Linked DNA regions of Anolis sagrei. Each later gene encodes a partner of the first gene's protein in a complex. Links are inferred from orthologs where the notes say so. Each region holds a gene or a part of one and is shown on either strand. Other genes may lie near its edges.

What was found. The genes of interacting proteins can lie anywhere in the genome.
Region 2: RBL2 (region 1) and LIN54 share a complex: the UniProt entries of both Homo sapiens proteins name them as parts of the DREAM complex. The link is inferred for Anolis sagrei from reciprocal best matches to the Homo sapiens genes RBL2 and LIN54.
Region 3: RBL2 (region 1) and TFDP2 share a complex: the UniProt entries of both Homo sapiens proteins name them as parts of the DREAM complex. The link is inferred for Anolis sagrei from reciprocal best matches to the Homo sapiens genes RBL2 and TFDP2.

The regions. Positions count from the first base shown.
Region 1 is NC_090028.1:34,141,589-34,149,698, reverse strand, and holds the start of RBL2 (retinoblastoma-like protein 2), read right to left. Parts: upstream 3,623-8,110; 5' UTR 3,605-3,622; coding exon 3,305-3,604; intron 1-3,304. UniProt on the Homo sapiens protein: Key regulator of entry into cell division. Directly involved in heterochromatin formation by maintaining overall chromatin structure and, in particular, that of constitutive heterochromatin by stabilizing histone methylation.
Region 2 is NC_090025.1:17,418,537-17,426,491, reverse strand, and holds the start of LIN54 (protein lin-54 homolog), read left to right. Parts: upstream 1-4,371; 5' UTR 4,372-4,704; intron 4,705-7,955. Other genes in the region: COPS4 (COP9 signalosome complex subunit 4), read right to left, coding at 209-360, 742-821, 4,165-4,238. UniProt on the Homo sapiens protein: Component of the DREAM complex, a multiprotein complex that can both act as a transcription activator or repressor depending on the context. In G0 phase, the complex binds to more than 800 promoters and is required for repression of E2F target genes.
Region 3 is NC_090023.1:236,981,140-236,989,485, reverse strand, and holds the start of TFDP2 (transcription factor Dp-2), read left to right. Parts: upstream 1-4,762; 5' UTR 4,763-4,834; coding exon 4,835-4,837; intron 4,838-8,346. UniProt on the Homo sapiens protein: Can stimulate E2F-dependent transcription.

The DNA.
Region 1 (8,110 bases):
GAAGAGGGGACTCAAAATAATCAACAACGATCTGGCTGCTGTTCCTTTCAGGTTTATATAGAAGAGAGGACTTAATAAAAATATCACTACTAATAGGGCCCCGTTCCTTTAAGGTTTGTATAGAAGAGGGGATCCAATAACAACAACAGCAGGGCACCTTTTCCTTTAAGGTTCTATAGAAGAGAGAATTTAATAATAACAGTTAACAACAAGAGGGCTGCTGTTCCTTTATGGCTTGTGTAGAAGAGGGGAATTAACAATAATAACAATAACAACAGGACTCCTGCTCCTTTAAGGTTTATATAGAAGAGGGGATCCAATAACAACAACAGGGCCCCTGTTCCTTTAAGGTCTGCATAGAAATGCGAATTTAAAATTAATAATAACAATAACAATAAGACTCCTGTTCCTTTAAAGTTTGTATAGAAGAGAGTATTCCATAATAACAACAGAGATCCTGTTCCTTTAAGGTTTGTATAGAAGAGGGGAGTTAATAATAACAATAATAACAACAGGGCCATGTTCCTTACAGGTTTGTATAGAAGAGGGGATCCAATATCCACAACGAAAGGGCTTCTATTCCTTTAAGGTTTGTATGGATGAGGGAATTTAATAATAACTAGCCATCCCCTGCCATGCATTGCTGTGGCCCGGTCTGTGTATATGTGTATATGTGTGTGTATATATTTTTGTATATATGTGTGTTTGCGTATATATATATATATATATATGTGTGTGTGTGTGTGTGTGTGTGTATTTGTGTGTTTATATGTGTGCATGTATATGTGCATGTGTGTATATGTGTATATTTGTGCATATATATACATGTGTGTGTATGAATGTATACATGTATATATGTATATGAGTGTATGTGTATATGTATATATGGTGTATTTTGGGGGTTTTTAAGTCTGTTCGCTGGGGTTTTGTGCGCGCGCGTGTGTTTATGGGTGATGGACACTCATTGGACTGTTAGGTGTATTGTGTCCAAATTTCGTGTCAATTCATCCAGTGGTTTTTGAGTTCTGTTAACCCCACAAATGAACATTACATTTTTATTAATATAGATAATAATAATAACAATAATAACAGGACTCCTGTTCCTTAAAGGTTTGTACAGAAGAAGGGATCCAATATGATCAACAACAGTGCTTTTGCTCCTTTAAGGTTTGTATAGAAAAAGGGATCCAATATCAACACCACCACCACCAAGTCTGTATGGAAGAGGGAATTTAATAATAAAAAATAACAACAGGACTACTGTTTTTTAAGGTTTGTATAAAAGAGGAGATCCAATATCAACAATAACAGGCACCCGTTCCTTACAGGTTTGTATAGAAGAGGGGAGATAATAATTATAATAACAATAATAACAGGACTCCTATTCCTTTAAGTCAGTGTTTCTCAAGCTTCCTAATGCTGTGACCCCTTAATACACTTCCTCATGTTGTGTTGACCCCCAACCATAACATTATTTTCGTTGCTACTTCATAACTGTGATGTTGCTCCTGTTATGAACCGCAATGTAAATATCTGATATGCAGGATGCATTTTCATTCCCTGGACCCAATTTGGAACAAATACCTGATACATCCACATTTGAATACTGGTGGGATGGGGGGTGGATGGGTTAATTTGTTATTTTGGAGTTGTAGTTGCTGGGATTTATAGTTCACCTACAATCACAGAGTATTCTGAACTCCACCAAAGATGGAATTGAACCAGACTTGGCACACAGAACTCCCCTGACCCAATTTTGAATACTGGTGGGGTTGTGAGGGTGATTGATTTTGTCATTTGGGAGTTGTAGTTGCTGGGATTTTTTCACCTACAATCAAAGAGCATTTTGAACTCCACCAACAATGGAACTGCACACAGAACTCTCATGGCCAACAGAAAATACTGGGTTTGTTGGGCATTGACCTTGAGTTTTGGGAGTTGCAGTTCACCTACATCCAGAGAGCACTGTGGACTCAAACAATGATGGATCTGGACCAAACTTGGTACAAATACTCAATATGCCCAAATGTGAATAGTGGTGAGGTTTGGGGAAAATAATATATTGTCGAAGGCTTTCATGGCTGGAATCACTAGGTTCTTGTGGGTTTTTTCGGGCTATAGAGCCATGTTCTAGAGGCATTTCTTCTGACGTTTCGCCTGCGCCCAGACGCGCATCAAGGAACATGAAAGTCACTGCAGACTACTTCAACCAGAGAAGTCAGCCATAGCAGAGCACCTGATGAATCAGCCTGGACACAGCATATTATTTGAGAACACAGAAATGCTGGACCACCCTCACAACCACCATGTCAGACTACACAGAGAAGCCACTGAAATACACAAGCATGTGGACAATTTCAACAGAAAGGAAGAGACCATGAAAATGAACAAAATCTGGCTACCACTATTATAAAAAACTCTAAAATTACAACAGCAAAACAACAGAGAGGAAACAACCAGGCACATCTTAACACCTCCCAGCAAGAGATTTTCCCAGGCTCAGGCAGGCCTTCAAATGCTAATGAAGGTGATCAGCTGAAACATTCACACCTAACTGCAGCAGGGAAGAGCTCTTTGCCCCACCCCAGCCGTTCCACAGATATATAAACCCATTGTCCTAATTCCAACAGACCTCACTACCTCTGAGGATGCTTGCCATAGATGCAGGCGAAACGTCAGGAGAAATGCCTCTAGAACATGGCCATATAGCCCGAAAAAACCCACAAGAACCTAATAGGACGACTGTTCTTTAAAGGTTTGTATAAAAGAGGAGATCCAATATCAACAATAACAGGCTTACAGGTACTGTATACAGGTTTGTATAGAAGAGGGGAGATAATAATAACAATAATAACAAGAATGAGATAACACCTTAGGACCCTGGATGGAAGTTGATGTAGACCCATCTTAATAGGACGACTGACCACTATAGTGTTTACATATAGTGTTTTTGTAATCTGTGATATATGGTATTTTAATGAGTGTTTGTTTTTATGGCTGGAAACCGGGCTGAGTCCCTCAACGAGGTTGAGAAGCTCGGTATAGAAAACTGTGAAATAAATAAACAAACAATAATAATAATAATAATGACTTAAAGGACTCCTATTCCTTTAAGTTTTGTATGGAAGAGAGGGTCTAATGTCAATCACAACAGACCTCCCTCAACCAGTCTGGCCCCGCCCCCTGGCACAAGCCCCGCCCCATTAAGGAAGGCCCCGCCCTTCTGTCACAAGCCCCGCCCCATTAAGGAAGGCCCCGCCCCTCTGGCACAAGCCCCGCCCCCTCTCCGAGAAGCCCCTCCCACCTCGAGAGTGTAGTTCCTCCTCATGCCCTGGAAGCTGAGCCAGGCCTCGGCCCGGGCCCTCTCGTCCATGTTGAGGCTGCAGCAGAGCTCCTCGTAGCGCTGCCGGGTGTCTCCGTCGTCGTCCTCCGCCTCTTCCTCCTCCTCATCCTCCTCCGGGCTGCCTTTCCCTTCCTCCTCCTCCTCGGGCGCCTCCGCCGCTCCCTCGCCGCCTCCCCCTCCGTCGTCTCCGCCGCCCAACATGGTGTTGACTGAGGGGCGTCGTGAGGGGATGGCGCTCGCGCACTGCCGCTCACCACGCATGCGCCGCTGGAAGGGAGGGATTGTTTTTTTCCTTCTTCCTCCGCGTTCGAATCTAAACACCTCACCCCTCCCGTCCTCTGCGCTGATTGGGTGCCAGGGGTAGAACTCCCGCCAATCAGCGCGCTGCTTGTGCGCAGGCGCGCCTGTGGGGGCTTTTAAAAAATAAATGCCGTCACTTTTGCTGCGGACTACATTTCCCACAAAGCTTCGCGCTCCCGGATGAAAACAGTAGTGCAGTGATTCTCAACCTGGGGGTCGGGACCCCTGTGGGGGTCACGAGAGGGTGTCAGAGGGATCGCCAAAGACCATCAGAAAACATAGTATTTTTTGTTGGTCATGGGGGTTCTGTGTGGGAATTTTGGTCCAATTCTATCACTGGTGAGGTTCAGAATGCTATTTCATTGTGGGTGAACTATACATCCCAGCAACTACAACTCCCAAATGCTGAGGTCTATTTTCCCCAAACTCCACTAGTGTTCACATTTGGGGATATTGAGTATTTGTGCCAAGTTTAGTCCAGATCCATCATTGTTTTTGGCCACAGTACTCTCTGGATGTAGGTGAACTACAACTCCAAAAATTCAAGGTCAATGTCCACCAGACCCTTCCAGTATTTCCTCTTGGTCATGGGAGTTCAGTGTGCGAAGTTTGGTTCAATTCCATCGTTGGTGAACTTCAGAATACTCTTTGATTGTAGGTGAACTATACATCCCAGCAACTACAACTACCAAATGACAAAATCATTCCCCCCAACCCCACCAGTATTCAAATTTGGGCGTATTGGGTATTTGGGCCATATTTGGTCCAGTGAATGAAAATCCATCCTGCATATCTGATATTTACATAACGATTCATAACAGTAGCAAAATTACAGTTATGAAGTAGCAATGAAAATAATGTTATGGTTGGGGGTCACCACAACATGAGGAACTATACTAAGGGGTCGCGGCATTAGGAAGGTTGAGAACCACTGCAGTAGTGGGAGGTTGTTGTAGGTTTTCCAGGCTATATGGCCATGTTCTAGAGCAGTGGTTCTCAACTTTCCTAATGCCGCGACCCCTTAGTACAGGTCCTCATGTTGTGGTGACCCCCCAACCATAACGTTATTTTCGTTGCTATTTCATAACTGTAATTTTGCTACTGTTATGAATTGTAATGTAAATATCTGATATGCAGAAAGGATGTATTTTTAGTCACTGGACCAAATTTGGCACAAATACCCGATACGCCCAAAATTTGAATACTGATGGGGTTGGGGGTGATTGATTTTGTCATTTGGTAATGCTGGAGTTGCTGGGATTTATAGTTCACCATAAATCAAAGAGCCTTCTGAACTCCATCAATGATGGAATTGAATCAAACATGGCACACAGAATTCCCATGACCAAGAGAAAACACTGGGAAGGTCTGGTGGACATTGACCTTGAGTTTTTGGAGTTGTAGTTCACCTACATCCAGTGAACACTGTGGACTCAAGCAATGATGGATCTGGATCAAACTTGGCACAAATACGCAATATGCCCAAATGTGAACACTGGTAGAGTTTGGAGAAAATAGACCTTGCCATTTGGGAGTTGTAGTTGTTGGAATTTATAGTTCACCAACAATGAAATAGCATTCTGAACCCCACCAATGATAGAATTGGACCAAACTTTCCACACAGAACCCCCATGCCCAACAGAAAATACTATGTTTTCTGATGGTCTTTGGTGACCCCTCTGACACCCCCTTGCGACCCCCACAGGGGTCCCGACCCCCAGGTTGAGAAACACTGTTCTAGAGGCATTTTCTCCTGACGTTTCGCCTGCATCTATGGCAAGCATCCTCAGAGGTAGTGAGGTCTGTTGGAAGTAGGAAAATGGGTTCATATATCTGTGGAATGACCAGGGTGGGACAAAGGACTCTTGTCTGTTGGAGCTAGGTGGGAATGTTTCAACTGGCCACCTTGATTACCATTTAATGGCTTGGAAGTGCCTGGGGGAATCTTTCTTTGAGAGGTGATTTGATGTTTAGAGTGTTTAGAGTGGCTTGTAGGTCTTCTGAATGCACACAGACAACGTCATCAGCATACTGTAGTTCTATAAGAGATGTTGTTGTAACCTTGTTTTTGGCTTTCAGTCTGCTGAGGTTAAATAGCTTGCCATCTGTTTGATAGATAATTTCCACAGTAACAGTCAGAACTTATCATGGAACAACAGACTGGTACAAGATTGGGAAAGGAGTACGGCAGGGTTGTATACTCCCACCCAACCTATTCAACTTGTATGCAGAACACATCATGCAATGTGCGGGGCTTGACGAATGCAAGGCTGGGGTGAAAATTGCTGGAAGAAACATTAACAACCTCAGATATGCAGATGACACCACTCTGATGGCCGAAAGCGAGGAGGAGCTGAGGAGCCTTCTAATCAAGGTGAAAGAAGAAAGCGCAAAAGCCGGGTTGCAGCTAAACATCAAAAAAACCAAGATTATGGCAACAAGAATGATTGACAACTGGAAAATAGAGGGAGAAAATGTGGAGGCCGTGACAGACTTTATAGTTCTAGGTGCAAAAAAAATCAAAAGATGTTTATATCTTGGGAGGAGAGCAATGACCAATCTCGATAAAATAGTGAAGAGTAGAGTAGAGACATCACACTGGCAACCAAGATCCGCATAGTTAAAAGCAATGGTATTCCATGTAGTAACCTACGGATGTGAGAGCTGGACCATAAGGAAGGCTGAGCGAAGGAAGATAAGACACTTTTGAACTGTGGTGCTGGAGGAAAGTTCTGAGAGTGCCTTGGACCACGAGAAGATCCAACCAGTCCAGGAAATAAAGCCCGGCTGCTCATTGGAGGGAAGGAGATTAGAGGCAAAGATGAAGTACTATGGCCACATCATGAGAAGACAGGAAAGCTTGAAGATAATGATGCTGGGGAAAATGGAAGGAAAAAGAAAGAGGGGCCGGCCAAAGACAAGATGGATGGATGGATGGTATCCTTGAAGTGACCGACTTGACTTTGTAGGAGTTGGGGGTGATGGCGGCTGACGGAGCTCTAGCGTGGGCTGGTCCACGAGGTCACAAAGAGTCGGAAGTGATTCAATGAATAAACAACAACAGGCCCAGAAGGATGGGGCTTCTGGGAGTTGAAGTCCAAAAACACCAATCAGGCCTTAAATCTCTCTATAAAAAGCCAAAGTGTCTTGGTGTTGCTTGGTTTGTACCACAAAGGCTCCTCCAGGGCTTGATGCATCAGGACCAAACTTGGCACACATTGCCTTCATGATCCAACCTAAAAATACTTGAGAGGTTTGAACTGAAAGAACCACTCTTTTCAGATCCAGAGCAGAGAAAGAAAGGAACAAAGCAGATTGGCTGTGGCTCTGTGAAGTGGTTCTCTATCAGGTGACTGGGGAATAAAGGAAGTGAAGGAGACTGGCTTTTGCTAGATGATGTGAATGCGGGAGAAGGAAAAGGAAAAGAGGAAGGGAAGAAATAAGTCACAGGAAGAGAAAAGGAAAGGATGAAGACAGGAAAAGATTGAAGAAAGAAAAGGGAAGAGGAAGAAAGTGAAGAAAGTAAAAGAAAGGAAGGAAAGGGACACAGGAAGGGAGTGAAGAAAGAAAAAGAAGGAAAGAGGAAGGAAGGAAAGAAACAGGAAGGGAGTGAAGAAGGAAAAAAGGGAAGAGAAAGGAAGAAAATTGACACAGGAAGGGAGTGAAGAAAAAAAAAGAAGAGGAAGGAAAGAAAAAAGGGACACAGGAAGAGTGTGTATAGAAAAAAGAAGGGAAGCAGAAGAAAGGAAGAAAAGAAAAGGGACACAGGAAGGGAGCGAAGAAGAAAAAAGGAAGAAAAGAAAAGGGACATAGGAAGGGAGTGAAGAAGGAAAAAGGGAAGCAGAAGGAAGATCATGACAGGGAGTGCAGAAAGAATGAAGGGAAGAGGAAGGAAGGAAAGACGGATATAGGAAGGGAGCAGAAAGGAGACAGGAAAAGATTGAAGAGAGAGAAAAAGGAAGAGAAGAAATAAGGAAGAGAAGAAATAAGGAAGAGAAAAAAAGGAAGAGAAGAAATAAGAGAAGAAATAATAAGTTGTATGAGGGATATCAAGGGAAGAAGGAAAGAAAAGAGGGAAGTCTATGAACAAATCGAGGAAGGAAAGAAACATTGAAAATGCATACTGGGAAGGTTAAGTGACATAGTCCTCACACACTTGGAGGTTGCAATAGACTGGAACACTACTGTTATTTTCGGTAATAAACTTTTGGCACTCAAGCATTGTAAGGGCTTGGACTGGATGGCCCTTGAGGTCTCCTCCAACTCTTCGATTCCATGAATAAATTCCCCAAATAGTGAATGGCTTCAGGAATCAACTGCTTTGCAAATCCGTACAACTGAACTTTGTAATGTACTGAGGCCAACATCATGGGTTGTCAAAGAATATGTTTAATAAAAAATAATTAAACTTCCATTTGCTCTATAGAACATCATAGAAAGTAATTCAATAAATTACAAAGGACTCTT
Region 2 (7,955 bases), on another chromosome or scaffold:
CACATTTGCCTATTTTCAAACTGCTAGGTTGGCTGGAGCTAGGGCTAACAGCAGGAGCTCACCCTGACTCCTGGCTTCAAACCGCCAACCTTCAGGTCAGCAGATTCAGCAGTGCAAGGATTTAACCCATTGCGCTTGTACAAATCTAGGCAAAAACCCTACAGAGTAGCCTTTTAGAAATCAAGAGCCCCTGATTTCTTGTTCTTACCTGCTCTTCAAATGAAATTACACGAGGCTGGATCTTTTCCAACGTGAAGTGGTAGATTTCTTTAGCTGTGCCGTCAGGAAGGCTCGGGAGATGGGTACAAAAGTCTGTCAGCAACTGGCGCGAAATCACTAAACTGACATTTTCATTCACCACTAAATAAGGGACACAATGAGAAATTTTTAAAAAAACATACCTTTAAATCAGGCTTGTCATTTGGACCATAATCATGCTGTTATCAAGACTAAATTATATTTTGTTGATTGCAAACTTAATTTTCAGACAGCCAAACTAAATGAAATGAGCTTTTGTATATTACACCAACAGTGGTACATTGTCAAATTTTCAACTCATTTGTCTCATGTGGTCCAAGTACTCCTGGATTAACAAGAGTAAGCATCATTAGCAATTCCATGACACAAAAACAGGCAAATGAAAAACTGTTTACCTACACACAAACACAAATGCAAGTCCTGCAGTTCGGCATTTATAACTCTGGCATTTAACAACATCTGAAAAACAATGTTGAAACTCACTTGCTTCTACGAAGGCTTTTAATGCCTCTAACTGTTCGACTCCAGAGAGCTGAATTGCTTTTTCCAATATCTGCCGATATCTGCCAGAAAATGTCAAAAATAAATCAGTCACAATTAACAATACTGGCTTATTTTCAGAATGAGTTTTACATTTGGGTGGAATGAGAGTAGTAGTCAATGTAAACAGTCAAAACATAACTTAGGTTTAAGGAATTTGTCCTTAAAAAAAAACACAACAAAGCACAAAACTCTCTTCTGTGCTGATACCTTTACTAGGCCAACGGAAAGGCACAAAGTACATTCCACTTGCTTTCAAAGCTTGACAGAACTCTTTATCAAGCAAAAATGGTGAAACTGTTTATGAGGAAAAGAAAGTGACAGTGCTGTGGCCACCATGTCTATATTTTGGATGTCACACATACTTCCTGTCACATTCAAAACGCAAAGGCCATAACCACAAAACTGTCACCTTATTTCTCACTGTGCTATTTGAATATCTTGATTGTTGATTTTCAGGAGTGTTAAAAACATGACTTGCTGGAAAGAAAATAGTTATTTTTAACACTTTGAAAACCAGTATCTTACTCCTATTTCCTACTGCTCACTGTATAGACAAGGCAGGAGTACAAATGTATCAATAATTTAATCATTAAACAGGGTAAATCAACCAGTAAATTCCATCTGAGATGGAGATTACATCCTAACAACTGTTCAGCTGAGGGGTTAACATTATTATTTTAATATCATTTTGATAATGTTGTTGCTGTCCATTGTATATGTTTTGATTTTATTGCTGTATTATGTTGTCCAGGCTTGCCCCCATGTAAGCCGCTCCGAGTCCCCATCGGGGAGATGGTAGCGGGGTAGAAATAAAGTTTATTATTATTATTATTATTATTATTATTATTATATGTATCCACCACCAAGACACTACAATTGAAAGGCCAAAATACTCGGACAATGAGGGATAACCTAAGTAAGTAAGTAGGATCTGATGCGGAGGAACAACAGCAAAGTGCTATAGGTGACACCATATTTGTGTCCACTGACTGCACCTGTTTATTTCCTAGAAAGTCTCCACAGATCAGATGGTGATGCCTCATGGGAATACTATGTTGGGAATACTATGTTTAGTACCATAGGTTTAATAAAGGGCAAGCGGTGGCATTTGAGAAGGTGACACATACTGATCCTGATGAGTAGAGATGCAACCTCCTTCAGGGTAGGGAATGTAGCTGGGATTTTAATAATAATTGAAGAATAATTGGAATAATTGAAGGACACTGAAAAGCAAGATTTTGCTCAATTTATAAACACGTTCAACTTAGTAATTGTCTTAGAGAAAGCCTTTTGGTTGCAGTGGGAGAAATTGTTTTGAAAGATGGTTTGCTGTACATAAAACTCTCAAGGATAATAGGTTCAAGAGCAAGGAGAAGGGGAAACGATAACACCACATGCAAAGGGCATTAACAGCTGGGGATGTAAAAATAATTAATAGAAGAGAAGGAAAATGTTTGCTTGGCTAAGTGGAGGTAGGATGTTGACAAAATGTGATGAATCCATAGTGAATTAGAGAACCTGGAAGATGAAAAGGGACCCAATAAAGCAGTATTTTTTTTGGAGGGGGTCTCAGTGAGATTGCACACACACATGTTGAGATGTGTGTATGACTGTCTAACTTTTACAGGGTTTGGGTTTTTTCGGGCTATATGGCCATGTTCTAGAGCAGTGTTTCTCAACCTGGGGGTCAGGACCCCTGGGGGGGTTGCGAAGCTGTGTCAGAGGGGTTGCCAAAGACTATCAGAAAACACAGTAATTTCTGTGATCATGGAGGTTCTGTGTGGGAACTTTGGCCCAATTCTATCATTGGTGGGGTTCAGAACGCTCCTTGATTGTAGGTGAACTATAAATCCCAGCAACTACAACTCCCAAGTGTCAAGATTCTATTTCCCCCAAACTCCACCAGTGTTCACATTTCGGCATATTGAGTATTCTTGTAGAGTTTGGTCCAGATCCATCATTGTTTGAGTCCACAGTGATCTTTGGATGTAGGTGAACTACAACTCCAAAACCAAAGGACACTGCCCACCAAACCCTTCCAGTATTTTCTGTTGGTCATGGGAGAACTGCGTGCCAAGTTTGGTTCAATTCCATCGTTGACGGGGTTCGGAATGTACTTTGATTGTAGGTGAACTACAAGTCCCAGCAACTACAACTCCCAAATGACAAAATCAATTTTTTGAATGAAGGACATAAATTGGGTTGTTAGGTGTATCGTGTCCAAATTTGGTGCCAGTTGCCCCAGTGGTTTGTGAGTTCTATGGATAGCACAAACGAACATTACATTTTTATTTATATAGATTATTATTATTCATTCTACAGTGAAGATGGGCAAGGGACGGGCCAGGCCGTGTTTAAACCACTGAATCAATGCCTTCCCTGGGTTGTTGTAGGTTTTTCGGGCTATATGGCGATGGTCTAGAGGCATTCTCTCCTGACGTTTCGCCTGCATCTATGGCAAGCATCCTCAGAGATAGTGAGGTCTGTTGGAACAAGGAAAAAGGGTTTATATATCTGTGGAATGACCAGGGTGGGACAAAGAACTCTTGTCTGCGGGAGCTAAATGTGAATGTTTCAACTGACTACCTTGATTAGCATTTCATGGCCTGACAGTGCCTGGGACAATCTTTTGTTGAGAGGTGATTAGATGTCCTTGTTTGTTTCCTCTCTGTTGTTTAGCCGTTGTAATTTTAGAGTTTTTTTTTAGTACCGGGAGCCAGATTTTGTTCATTTTCATGGTTTCCTCCTTTTTGTTGAAATTGTCCACATGCTTGTGGATTTCAGTGGCTTCTCTGTGTAGTCTGACCTCACTACCTCTGAGGATGGCTGGAATCACTCAGTTGTTGTAGGTTTTTTTGGGGGCTATATGGCCATGTTCTAGAGGCATTATTTCCTGACGTTTTGCCTGCATCTGTGGCAAGCAAATTAAAAACTCTAAAATTAAAACAGCAAAACAGCAGAAGGAAAACAATCAGGGACATCTAATCACCTCTCAACAAAAGATTGCTCCAGGCACTTCCAGGCCATCAAATGCCAATCAAGGTAGTCAGCTGAAACATTCACACCTAGCTGCAACAGACAAGAGTCCTTTGTCCCACCCTGGTCATTCCACAGATATATAAACCCCTTTTTCCTAGTTCCAACAGACCTCACTACCTCTGAGGATGCTTGCCATAGATGCAGGCGAAACATCAGGAGAGAATGCCTCTAGACCATGGCCATATAGCCCGAAAAAACCTACAACAACCCAGTGATTCCGGCCATGAAAGCCTTCGACAATACAATGCCTTCCCTTCCCTTTTTGCGAGCTTCTCCTGCCCCGCTCCGCCTTCCCTCATCGAAAACCAAGAAGCCGTCGCTTACTTCCCGGCTAAATCCTTGTGGGAGCCGCTGGAGCTCATGAGCTGCGTCAACTCCTGCCTCACCGCCGCCGCCATTTTTCTTTTCTACACTTCCGGTGAGGGAAAAATAACCACGCCCCCTCCGTCGCCTCAGAAACCAATGAGGGCGGACTCTGCGTCATTCTCGAGCGCGCGCGCGTACACGCACGCACGCACAGTGACGCTTTCAACCCGGAAGTGGCTGTGTTTTTGGAGAAGGCGGGAGAAGAGTGATGACGCCGAAGCCGTTGCCAAGACGGCGGCGCTGCCGAGCTATTATGGGATGCGGCGGAATGGCGCTGGGCGCGTGATTTTGAACAAACACGGAACCGGGAGAAGGAGAGAAGGGAGAGGAGGAGGAGGAGGAGAGAGCGGAGGCGGGGGAGAGAGGGCTGCGCTTCTGGCCGCGAGGGTTTAACGGCAGCCTGAGGGCGAAGGAAGGCCTGGTGCTCGGAGGAGAAGCCTGACGGGAAACGCGCCCTGGAGTGACAGGTGCCTCATATCAACTGCATTACGGGACAGGGTAAATACACCAGGCCTGGGCCAACTTGGGCCCTCCCTCCCTCCAGGTGTTTTGGACTCCAACTCCCACAATTCCTAACAGTAGGGAAATACACAAGGCCTGGGCCAACTTGGGCCCTCCCTCCAGGTGTTTCAACTCCCACAATTCCTAACAGCCGGTAGGCTGTTAGGAATTGTGGGAGTTGGAGTCCAAAACACCTGGAGGGAGGGCCCAAGTTGGCCCAGGCCTTGTGTATTTACACTGCCGGCTGTTAGGAATTGTGGGAGTTGGAGTCCAAAACACCTGGAAGGAGGAAGGGCCCAAGTTGGCCCAGGCCTAATCCATACTGCACACCGTGTAATTTTTCCCTGTGGACAATCTGTTGTTTTTGCAGGAGCATATCTGACACATCAACTGAAACCATACATTCATTTTGGCATTTAAATAGGACACATGCTTGTTGATAGCTCCAAAACTTGTTAATCACTCCTTGATTGTTGATTGTGGGTGTTATGAGTTTTGACCGGGACAGAGCCCTGTTAAACCCCTGTGCCGGCAGGACTGAAGACCGACAGATTTTTTTTTCCAAATTTTGTTACCTAGTGTAATATGAGATAACCTCTTTATCTGTACTCATTCTATTGATTTCTCCGTGCTACTTCCACTTCCCATAGCATTGGTGCCACATAAACGTGAATTGAGGATTTTAACCCCCCCCCCCCCCCCGTGGCACAGTGGGTTAAACCCTTGTGCCAGCAGGACTGAAGACCAACAGGTCAGAGGTTCAAATCGGGGAAAATGAGGGTGAGCTCCCTCTGTCAGCTCCAGCTCCCTATGCAGGGACATGAGAGAAGCCTCCCACAAGGATGATAAAAACATCAAATCATCTGGGCATCCCCTGGGCAACGTCCTTGCAGACGGCCAATTCTCTCACACCAGAAGCAACTTGCAGTCTCTGAAGTCGCTCCTGACACAACAACAACCAAAAAAAAACCCAGGGACAGAAATTTATTATTTATTAATTATTTATTTATTTCCAGTATTTATGTACCGCCTTTCTCACCCTTGGGGGGACTCGAAGCAGTTTACACATAAATAATGGCAAAATTCAATGCCTTACATTGGGCACCGATACGATGCCAATACAAACAAATAGCATATTTAATGTATTGTCGAAGGCTTTCATGGCTGGAATCACTCAGTTCTTGTGGGTTTTTTCGGGCTATATGGCCATGTTCTAGAGGCATTTCTCCTGATGTTTCGCCTGCATCTATGGCAAGCATCCTCAGAGGTGAGGTCTACTGGAAATGGGAAAAAAGGGGTTTATATATCTGTGGAATGGCCAGGGTGAGACAAAGGGGCTTTTGTAAGTTGGGCTGGGTGTGAATCTTTCCACTGACCACCTTGATTAGCATACAATGGGCTGACAGTGCCTGGAGCAAACTCTTCTTGAAAGGTGATTAGATGTCCCTGCCTGTTTTTCTCCCTGCTGTTTTGCTGTTGCAATTTTAGAATTTTTTAATACTGGTAGCCAGATTTTGTTCATTTTCATGGTTTCTTCCTTTCTGTTGAAATTGTCCACATGTTTGTGGATTTCAATGGCTTCTCTGTGTAGTCTGACATGGTGGTTGTGAGAGTGGTCGAGCATTTTTGTGTTCTCAAATAATATGCTGTATCCAGGTTGGTTCATCAGGTGCTCTGCTATGGCTGACTTCTCTGGTTGGAGTAGTCTGCAGTGCCTTTCGTGTTCCTTGATTCGTGTTTGGGCGCTGCGTTTGGTGGTCCCTATGTAGACTTGTCCACAGCTGCATGGTATATGGTAGACTCCTGCAGAGGTGAGAGGATCCCTCTTGTCCTTTGCTGAACGTAGCATTTGTTTGATTTTCTTGGTGGGTTTGTAGATAGTTTGTATGTTGTGTTTTCTCATCAGCTTCCCTATGCGGTCAGTGGTTCCCTTGATGTATGGCAGGAACACTTTTCCTCTGGGTGGATCTTCATCTTTACCGTACTCTCGTGGCTTGTTCTTGGTCTTGAAGCTCTCCTGATGTCTGAGGTGGAGTATCCATTGGCCTGGAGAGCCCAGTTGAGGTGGTTCAGTTCATCTTGGAGGAGGTGGGGTTCACAGATTCTTTTTGCACTGTCTGTCAAGGCTTTAATGGTGCTTCTTTTTTGACTTGGGTGATGGTTGGAGTTTTTATGTAGATATCTATCTCTGTGTGTGGGTTTTCTGTAAACTGTGTGATCCAATTGTTGATCTGGTTTACGGATGACTAGGACATCTAGAAAAGGCAGTCTTCCTTCCTTTTTCCATAGTGAACTGGATGTTAGCATATTTGCTCCTTGATTGTTGATCATGGGTGTTGTGTGTTTTGACAGAGCCAGAAATAGCATTAAGCAACTGGTGAAACCAAAACAAAGGCTCTGCTATAAAGGGAAGTTTTACAAATCAGCACTAAAGGTTACCATTAGAAATAATATAAGAAGCCCCCCCCCCCAAGTATTTGGCAAGAATCAGATGTGTATTTTTTTGTATCAGGAGCAATTTGAGAAACTGCAAGTTACTTCTGGTGTGAGAGAGTTGGCCGTCTGCAAGGACGTTTCCCAGGGGGATGCCCAGGTGTTTTTGATGTTTTGCCATCCTTGTGGGAGGCTTCTCTCATGTCCCCACATGGGGAGCTGGAGCTGACAGAGGGAGCTCATCTGCGCCCTCCCCGGAATGAGATGACTGTTCAAGAATACAGTCCCAGAATATGCCAACAGAAACATTTCCTTGTATTGTCGAAGGCTTTCATGGCCGGAATTACTGGGTTCTTGTAGTTTTTTTCGGGCTATATGGCCATGTTCTAGAGAAATTCTAACATTTCCAAAACATGCTACGTACTAAGAACTGACTGCTTTGGAGTGTGGTAGAAGCTCCTTCCTTGGAAGCTTTTAAACAGTGGACGGATGGCCATCTGTTAGGGGTGCTTTGATTGTTTTCCCTGCATGGCAGGAGGTTGGACTAGATGACCAGTGTAGATTAGGCATGGGCCAACCTTTGTCACTCCTGGTAATGTCTGAGAGTAGAAAGCCCAAAAGGGGAAGTAGTTTGAAGTTGGCATGAAGAGTGGGAAGAAGGAGGCATGACAGCTCTTATAAGGGAGGGAAAGCCAAACACATTGCTTTCCCTTTCTCCTTGGTTTCCTTTGACAGGACTCGTCCAGCTGGCTTGTGGGAAGGGAAGGGACAGGGTGGGCGGGTGTGGGATGAAGGGGTTGGCTGCCGTAGTTTCT
Region 3 (8,346 bases), on another chromosome or scaffold:
CAAGATTCATCAAGATTATCAAAACAGTTTCTGTCCTATAACCAGACCAGAAGCCAGATTGAAATGTACCGGTAATCTGTCTCATTCTGGAATCCCTGGAACCTAGAGGCCTATAAGTTTGCTCAAGAAAAGAATATTGGAGACTGATCAGTCATTCTCCAAGATGGTAGGGTCTTTTTTTTTCGAGTAAAGGTCTTACCAGACCTCTTTAAAGCAGGCTGTGGCGCTGCCTCGCCATAGTGAGGAAATTAGCTATGCCTCTTACCCAGTCATCTAACCCCCTCTGGCTACTTTTATGAACCAGGAAGGACATGGTCCAGTAGTGGCATCACTAAGGTTGGTGTCACCCAGTAGGTCACTTGTGGTGTCACTCCTTGGACCTCAGTCATATGCTGGGGGAAAAAAAATCTTTACAAGACACTTAAAAAACAGAATTACTCGTTTGACAACATAATCTTAAATGGGCTTACTAAGATGTTTGCACAATCAAGGGGATCCAAGCCCTATCGGATAAGTACTTTTTGTCCCTGTTATTGTTGAAGAGCTGCTACATCCATCTCTAAATGAAAAATTGTCTGAAACCAGTCTGAAATAATATATCCGTATGTGTGTGTGTGTACGTTGGCCACCAATAGATTCTTAGTGTCACATGTTATATTTAATTTTTTTTAGGTCTCTGAAGTACACTGGAACTGCTCTCTTCCATAGAAGAGAGGTCACAGCAGCACAGTTACATAGGGATGGAAGGACCAACTGAATTCCTCCACAAATCAGAGGGCAGCTCTAATCACATGAGATTAGGCAGTCCCGTTGGCCCCCCAATATGTGACAGGGGGAGATGCCAATTACATATAAGCAGGTTAACACCCTGTCCCTCCTTTGCTTGACCAATCCTTCTGCCCTCACTGCATAATGGGCCGGATAGGAAACCCCTTCCCCTTTAGCAAGGGTTTTTTCACCTACCTGCACTGCATCTTGATGGAATGGGAAAATGGGCTTTGGGTGGTGTCCTAAATAAGTCTATCCCTCTCAATGCAGATAATGATTTGTGGGGGGAAATTTAGTTGGTACCTTGGCACCTCTCTCCTTTTTGGTTGTAGGATTACCCCTGGAATGACCTCACTAGGTTCTGAGACTTGTGGGAAGGCTGGGAAAGAGATCACTCTTAGGGTTGGCTGGGACAACAACAACTTACTCTCCATTATAAAAACACATGCTTTAAGGAAAGGGATCCTGGGCTGGCCTTCCAGAATATGAACCGATAAGGGCATCCTATTGGACTGTCCCTCGAGATGAGGAAGTTGTCACAGAAGTGATACCTGTCCCTCGGCCGAGACTCACATCAAGTTGCTCTCCACCTTATAGAATAATCTCCAGAACAAATAAACTGAAAAGTTTAGGTTCATGAAATCGCCTTATTTCAGTCCAACTTTTGTGCTTGGGCCCTGTTATTTAGCTGTTGGTATTCAGTTACCACTTCCGCTCACCCAAATAAATGCACCAATTTTGATATAATTGAAAGTTGGGGATCATTTTTTCTTGTGCATCAGTCAAGCCAGGTCTTTTCCACTGTTCCATATTTTATCTCAAAATCCCAAGAACTAATATGTTTATGGATAGAAAACTTTTGGGGAAATTGTACTTTATTTGGAATTTTTGTCACAGTACATTCAGTTTTAAAAGTGCTTGTTCCTTTGAAAGTGAGAAGGACTGTATCAGAAATAGTAAAGGAAGCTCCTGTTGCACTTGCAGGGTTTTTAAAAAAATCATATTAGCATCACTACTTTGCATGATGACCAAAGTAGTACAGTATCCAAAGATATTAATGTTCTCCCACTTTTCATTCCTCCACCCCCACAGTGCTTGAAAATATTTTGAGAAACAAAGAATGTAAACCCACTCACATTTGGTATTGAGGGCATTTTTCAAAAGCATTGATTTTGTGTCTAGATGTGTATGTATGTGCAACTTCATGCATTACCACAGGGTTTTCTTAGGGAAGGAATAACCTGAGGTGGTTTTCCAATTCCTTCCTCTGAAATAGAGCATATGCACACTGTATTTATTGGCAGTTTCTCACCCAAGTACTAATCAGTGGTGACCCTAGTTAGCTTCTAAGATCAGACAGATCCGGTGTCTTTAGATACCAACTCTTAAAAATGGCATAGCTCTGCATTTGATTTGTTATGTCTCTCACCAGCTCAAGTTTCCTTTGAATGGCTACAAAGGCTGATGTGTTGCTGATGCAGTAAGAGGCATTCTTCTTTAGACAAGAGGAAAGACCAGTTTGGGTTTTCTTTGCAATGTAAGTATTTTACAAAACAGAATTGAGACCTTTTACTTCCAACAGCTTAGAACAGAATATAATAAGAGTGTAATGTTTGCAAAATATATTGTTCCTGTAATGTTGTTTATGAAAAAACTGTAGTATACTTGGGACAGGAGCAGGGATGAAGTTACTCTAATTAGTCACATGAATAGGAGTTCCAAATTGAACTACATCTACTGTTTTCCTTTCCAGATAGCTTAGGGTGTTAGTTTTGAATGAAAGGTACTGACTGTGGCTCCATGAAGGGAAAATAAAACAAAATAGTTAAAGCCAGAATTTTAGAGCTGACAAAGCATTTTGTCACATAAAATCACTAATTCAGAGGGAAACAAGAAAAAAGCATTACTAGCAATCAGTATGTGCAGAAGAAACAGTTTACTGGATGGTGTTGAGCATCTTAATTCTGGGGTTTTTTCCTTGGCTATTTGTGATTTGAAAATGTTGGTTCTGTCCTAGGAGCTTGGTTACTGTTGGCTCATAAACACAGCAGAGCATTCCATTACCTTATGGGTTATTATGATTCAGTGTGGGTGGCACCATTTGATGCTTGAATCATTTCGGCTGCAACTGCCATTAAGCTGGCTTACTTTTATGGGCAAGAAAATAACCTTTCCTTTTACTGTTCAGAAATGTACATTTGGTCTAATGTGCACTTACAGGAAGCAAGCCAAGTGTGCTTAGATCCATAAAGTATTTACTTGATTCATGAATTAAATGCATTTCTGATACAAAGTTTATGTAAGTTGTTGCAAATATAAGTTCTTAAATTAAAGGGTATTTCTCATATATTCTTTTTTTAAATTTAAAGATGCCATAGCTAATTGCAACATTTTATTCAGTTTGATAAGCTACCATAGGATGTCAAATGGTCAAAAAAATCAAGCCTTATCAGTTAAACAAGTCTCTGGGGGGAGAAAGGCGGGATTAAAATGAAGTAAATAATAACAATTAATAAAATACATTATTTTTATTTTAAAGTAGTAAATATCCTGAACAGCAGAGTTCTTGTACTAAATAAGTTAACTAAATTGTTTCCAAGTAACACTTCACTTTTTAATTTTTAATTGGACCCAGTATCAAAGCTTTCACTGGAGCATTCATTTGGACACATGGACAGATGCTTCCCGTAACCACAAAGATGGAATGAAACTTGTTCTAAAGCAGTGACTTTTGCTACTGATGTTCAGTTGTATTTTTATCTTAGATGAGCTGGAGATTGTCAAGCAAAATGTATTGTACTGCTAGTTTTTGCCCTGACAACACTTAGTGGGGATGGTTGATTTATTTTGTGTGTGTGTGTGTGTGAAAGGGAAGGAGTTCAGGCACCACTCCTACCTATGCTAATGAAGTACGTGATGCAGCAATACAAAAGGTGTCCCTCAGGAAATTTGAACAGGCAGTTCCCACTAAAAGAAATTTAACCAGATTTCACAAAGTTATATAATGTATAATAAATAAGCCTCCTGTTGTTGCTTTATGACAGCCACTTACTCCGAAAAAGGCTGCTGATCAGAGTTAAAATAAAAATGCTAACTGAAAATGCTGTATCACATCACTGTGTCTATAAGCATTGAGCATATCAATTTTTAAAAGCAGAAAAGCTGACACAAGAATTGAATGTGTGTTCCTCAATTCCAGGGAGTGGACTAGATGGCCCTTGTGGTCTTGTAACATATGTGGCTAAAAAACAGTGCCTAAGATTCTCATGGGGGGGTGGGGGGGAGAGACCTACTGATGTTTGCATATGGTAAATCAAAAATCACTATAAATCAACCATCACCACCAAAAAGTTGGAACACTTTAGTTCTAAAGAACTCACAGTGTAATTTGGGGAGGGGGTTGGAGGATTAAAAGTTTAATTCTGAGGGACACACAGTCTTTCCAACAAGGCGATCTTTCTAATAGAAATACATAGTGATCCAGTTGTGCTTGACCAAAAAAAACCCCATTTAAATCTACTGGCTTGATACCTTGACACTGTGTGGCTTTAATGTTAGAGGAATACCATTCTTACATTCAATACCATGCTCTGAATTCCAAACCTAGGCCCTGCGAATTGGGTAACTGCGACTAGATTCTATTTATCACTCGCATTTCAACAGACATTACTGAGAAAGTAGAAGCCAAAATCTACATGCAATGTTTCAAATCACTGAATTAAATCTACTTCAGACAGTTTCTACCTGATAACTTGGGTTTTTTTCAATGCCAAATCACTTTTCCTGAGTCCTAGAAAGAAGGAAAACTGAGATGTAGTAAGGAAAATTGAGATATAAATTAAATAAATAATTTGTTTCTTATTTGCTGTGATGGTCTCCTGAATAATATAGCTACTGGTATATCTAGAAGACAAAATATTTGTATAGTGGTTATGTGGTTATGAGTATAAGGAAATAAGGTTCACGTTTTGCTTTTTTTTAGAAAATACATTCCTGCCAGTGTCTACCATCGACTAAGATTTTGTCCAAAACATTATCATCAGTAAATTTAAATGTCAGACCCCAAATGGTAAGTACTGTTGCCCTTTAACAGCTTTTAATTAGTAGAACTATACAGAATAGCAGTTCTGTATTCACAGCTACAAATGTTCAGACACCTTTTCATAGGTTTCTTCATTATGGAAAGATATTGATGGACTTGTGTATTTTCTGGGGATAAATAATTGCCATATATTAATGTGTTGTGCTGCATGCCAGTACATAAGGGCTTCTGAAGCAAACATCAGAATTGGTACTTTATGAAATACACATTTCTCAATATGCTCTATAAAAAATTTATTTCAAATCACCAGTACAAGTACTGTTCCAAATACATGCAATTTTGTAATAGAACTGCTTTGTGCAGCTGTACTAATTGGTTAAACTAAGAAACAGTTGCACAATGTTTCCTGTTTTCCTCCTGCAATAGCTTCTTTGCTTAGCATCAACACATTCCCACTGTATACTTGATTTTTGTTAAAAATCACATTTCTGATAAATGCAGGTAATTGGTTTGTATCCAACAGTAGTAGAAGAACAAAATAATAATACACAGATATTTTACCATGCCTATTTTATCCAGTTAACACTTATTCTATATGTTACACAAGAGAGCCATAAAAAGATGTATGTGCACACTGATTTTTGATCTAGTAGCAGAAAAAAAACTTTATTTTTGTAATGGAAACAACTGTCCTCTACCATTTTTAGCATGCGCACGCGCACACACACCCTTGCATTTTGCATCCATAGATTTAGCCAACCATGGCTCAAAAATATTGAGAAAAAATCCCCAAAACAAACTTTATTTTTTGCCACCAGGCATTAACAGTGATGTGTAGCCATACCTTGCTGTAGCCTCCTGCCATTTCACATATCTTCAGGCTGGTACATGTTTGAGTTCTTCATCATTTTATATAAGGATACATAGTGTATATACTGTTATATACCAAAGTCTGTGGATGCTCAAGTCCCATTATATACAATGGAATACAGAGTACTTCAAAATAACGGCCCCAATTTCAAAACAGCGCAGTTCACAATGGCAACATGTTACAATTACGCAAACAGTTACCAACAGTTTAAAGAGTAATCAAGTTATCAAGATTTACTGACCATTTTATAAAAACACTATGCGCCCTCCACCTGCTTTATGGACAATATTGGGACAATAGTGGAACACAAAATGCCTTATGACTGAGGCTATGCTCTGTTTGTATACTGGGAGAGTAATCTTGCAGTAATAATTTGAAAAACTATACCTTTCAAGTGGTAAGAGTTTCATTCATGAGCAGCTTGCGTTTATAGTGATAGTGATTTCAAATTGGGTCCGTCAAGTCCATCCTGTATAATGGGACTTGAGCATCCACAGGTTTTGGTATAAACGGGGCTGGGATGGGATGGGGGGCTTCTGGAGCCAAATCTCATTGATTGCCCCTTGTAGCAGTCTTTGGGTACATGATGTAACCACCTAAATGAATTCCAATGTAGAAATATTTTATAACATAAATTAAATAAATATAATTATATCCAAAGTTATTGTTTACGATGCAGGGTCTTGTATGTAGTCCAACAGTATGAAGTCTTGATTGAGAGAATGGTCAGGTCTGAATTGCCCCCTTTCTGTGGTTACTCTGATTTTATACAAGTACACTGTGCTTTAAAATATGCTGTGTTCTCTCCTCCCTTCCCTTCCCCAGCACCACCTATGCTTCCTAGACGTATTTCTAGGGTGGCTGAGTGCATCTTTTTCATCCTTGCAATGCCTAGTTGGGGTTAAAATTGGATCTGCAGTAAAAAATATTCTCGGATCACCCCAACAACTGTCCCTTCTCTCAGTCCAACCACCATCCCAGGCACGATTGGAGAGGATGCCAGAGAGGGCCTTTTCAGTGGCTGCCCCTGGAACCTTCTCCTTAGTGAAGCCAGAATAGCACCCTCCCTGTTGTCCTTTCAGCAGCAGGCTAACATCTTTTCATTCCTGCAAACTTTTAAAGAAGAAAGCTTTTAAGTACGAGCCGGGAGATGCTGTGTGGTCATTTAAGTATTTTAATAGTTTTTAATAATTTTGTGTGCATTTAACTATTTATTTATTTATTTATTAAATTTATTTCTATCCTGCTTTATCTCCCCCCAAGGGTACTCAAAGCAGCTTAACATAAAAGCATCTGCAAAACCATTTAAAATATACAGATATGCGAACATTAAAACAGGATTAAATATAAACAGTATTTTTAAATTCCCAGTTAAAAACTATTAAAATAAATTCAAAGTTAAAAACCACAGCACCCCTGAATTGATCTTAAAAACCTTCATATTTAAAAGCCTTCCTGAATAAAAAGGTTTTAGTCTACTGCCAGAAGGACAGCAGGGTTCTCTGGGGAGGGGTTTCCAGAGTCAAGGGGTAGCCACGGAAAAGGTCCACTCTCTTGTACCCACCAATCATGCTTGAGATGGAGGTGGGACCAAGAGAAGGGCCTCTCCTGAAGATTTCAGGGCTCAGGCAGGTTCATACAAGGAGATGCGATCAGCCCAATAGCCTGGATCTGAACTGTCTAGAGCTTTAAAGGTCATAACCAGCACTTTGAATTGTTCCCGGAAACAGACTGGTAGCCAGTGAAGCTGCTGCAATGGGTGGGGGGGGGGGTTGTCTGCTCCCTGTAGCCAGCCTCAGTTAGCAGCCTGGCTGCAGCTCTATGGACCAGCTGAAGTTTCCGAGCACTCTTCAGAGGCACTGCCACGTAGAGCATGTTACAGTAATCCAGGCAGGATGTAACTAAGGCATGTACCACTGTGGCCAGATCTGGCTTTTCAAAGAATGAGTACAGTTGGTGCACAAGTTTTAATTGTGCAAACACCCTCGTAGCCACCACTGATACCAAAGTCTTCAGGTTGAATGCTGAATCCAGGAGGACCCCCAAACTGCAAACGTGTGTCTTTAGGGAAATGGTAACCCATCCAGCACAGGCTGAATCCCTATTTCTTGGTCTGCCTTTCGACTGACCAGGAGTACTTCTATCTTGTCTGAAGTAAGTTTCAATTTGTTTGCCCTCATCCAGTCCATTACTGATAGCAGGCATTGGTTTAGGGTCAGGACAGCTTCCTTGGCATTAGGTGAAAGGAGTAGTAGAGTTGGGTGGCATCTGCATATAGGCCACACCGTACTCCAAAACTCCAGATGACCTCTCCCAGCAGTTTCATGTATATGTTAAACAGCATGGGGGACAAAACGGAACCCTGAGGAACCCCACAGAGCAACGGCCATGGGTCCCCCAGCACCACCTTCTGGGTACGGCCCTCTAAGAAGGACCAGAGCCACTGTAAGCCCCCCACTCCCATCCCGGTGAGACAACCCAGAAGGATACCATGGCCAATGGTATTGAAAGCTGCTGAGAGATCCAAGAGAACCAACAGGAACATACTCCTCCTGTCTAGCTCTCTTCATAGGTCATCCACCAAGGTCATTGAAGCTGCCTCTGTTCAATAACCAGGCCTGAAACCAGAATGAAATGGATCTAGATGATCCATTTCATCCAGAAA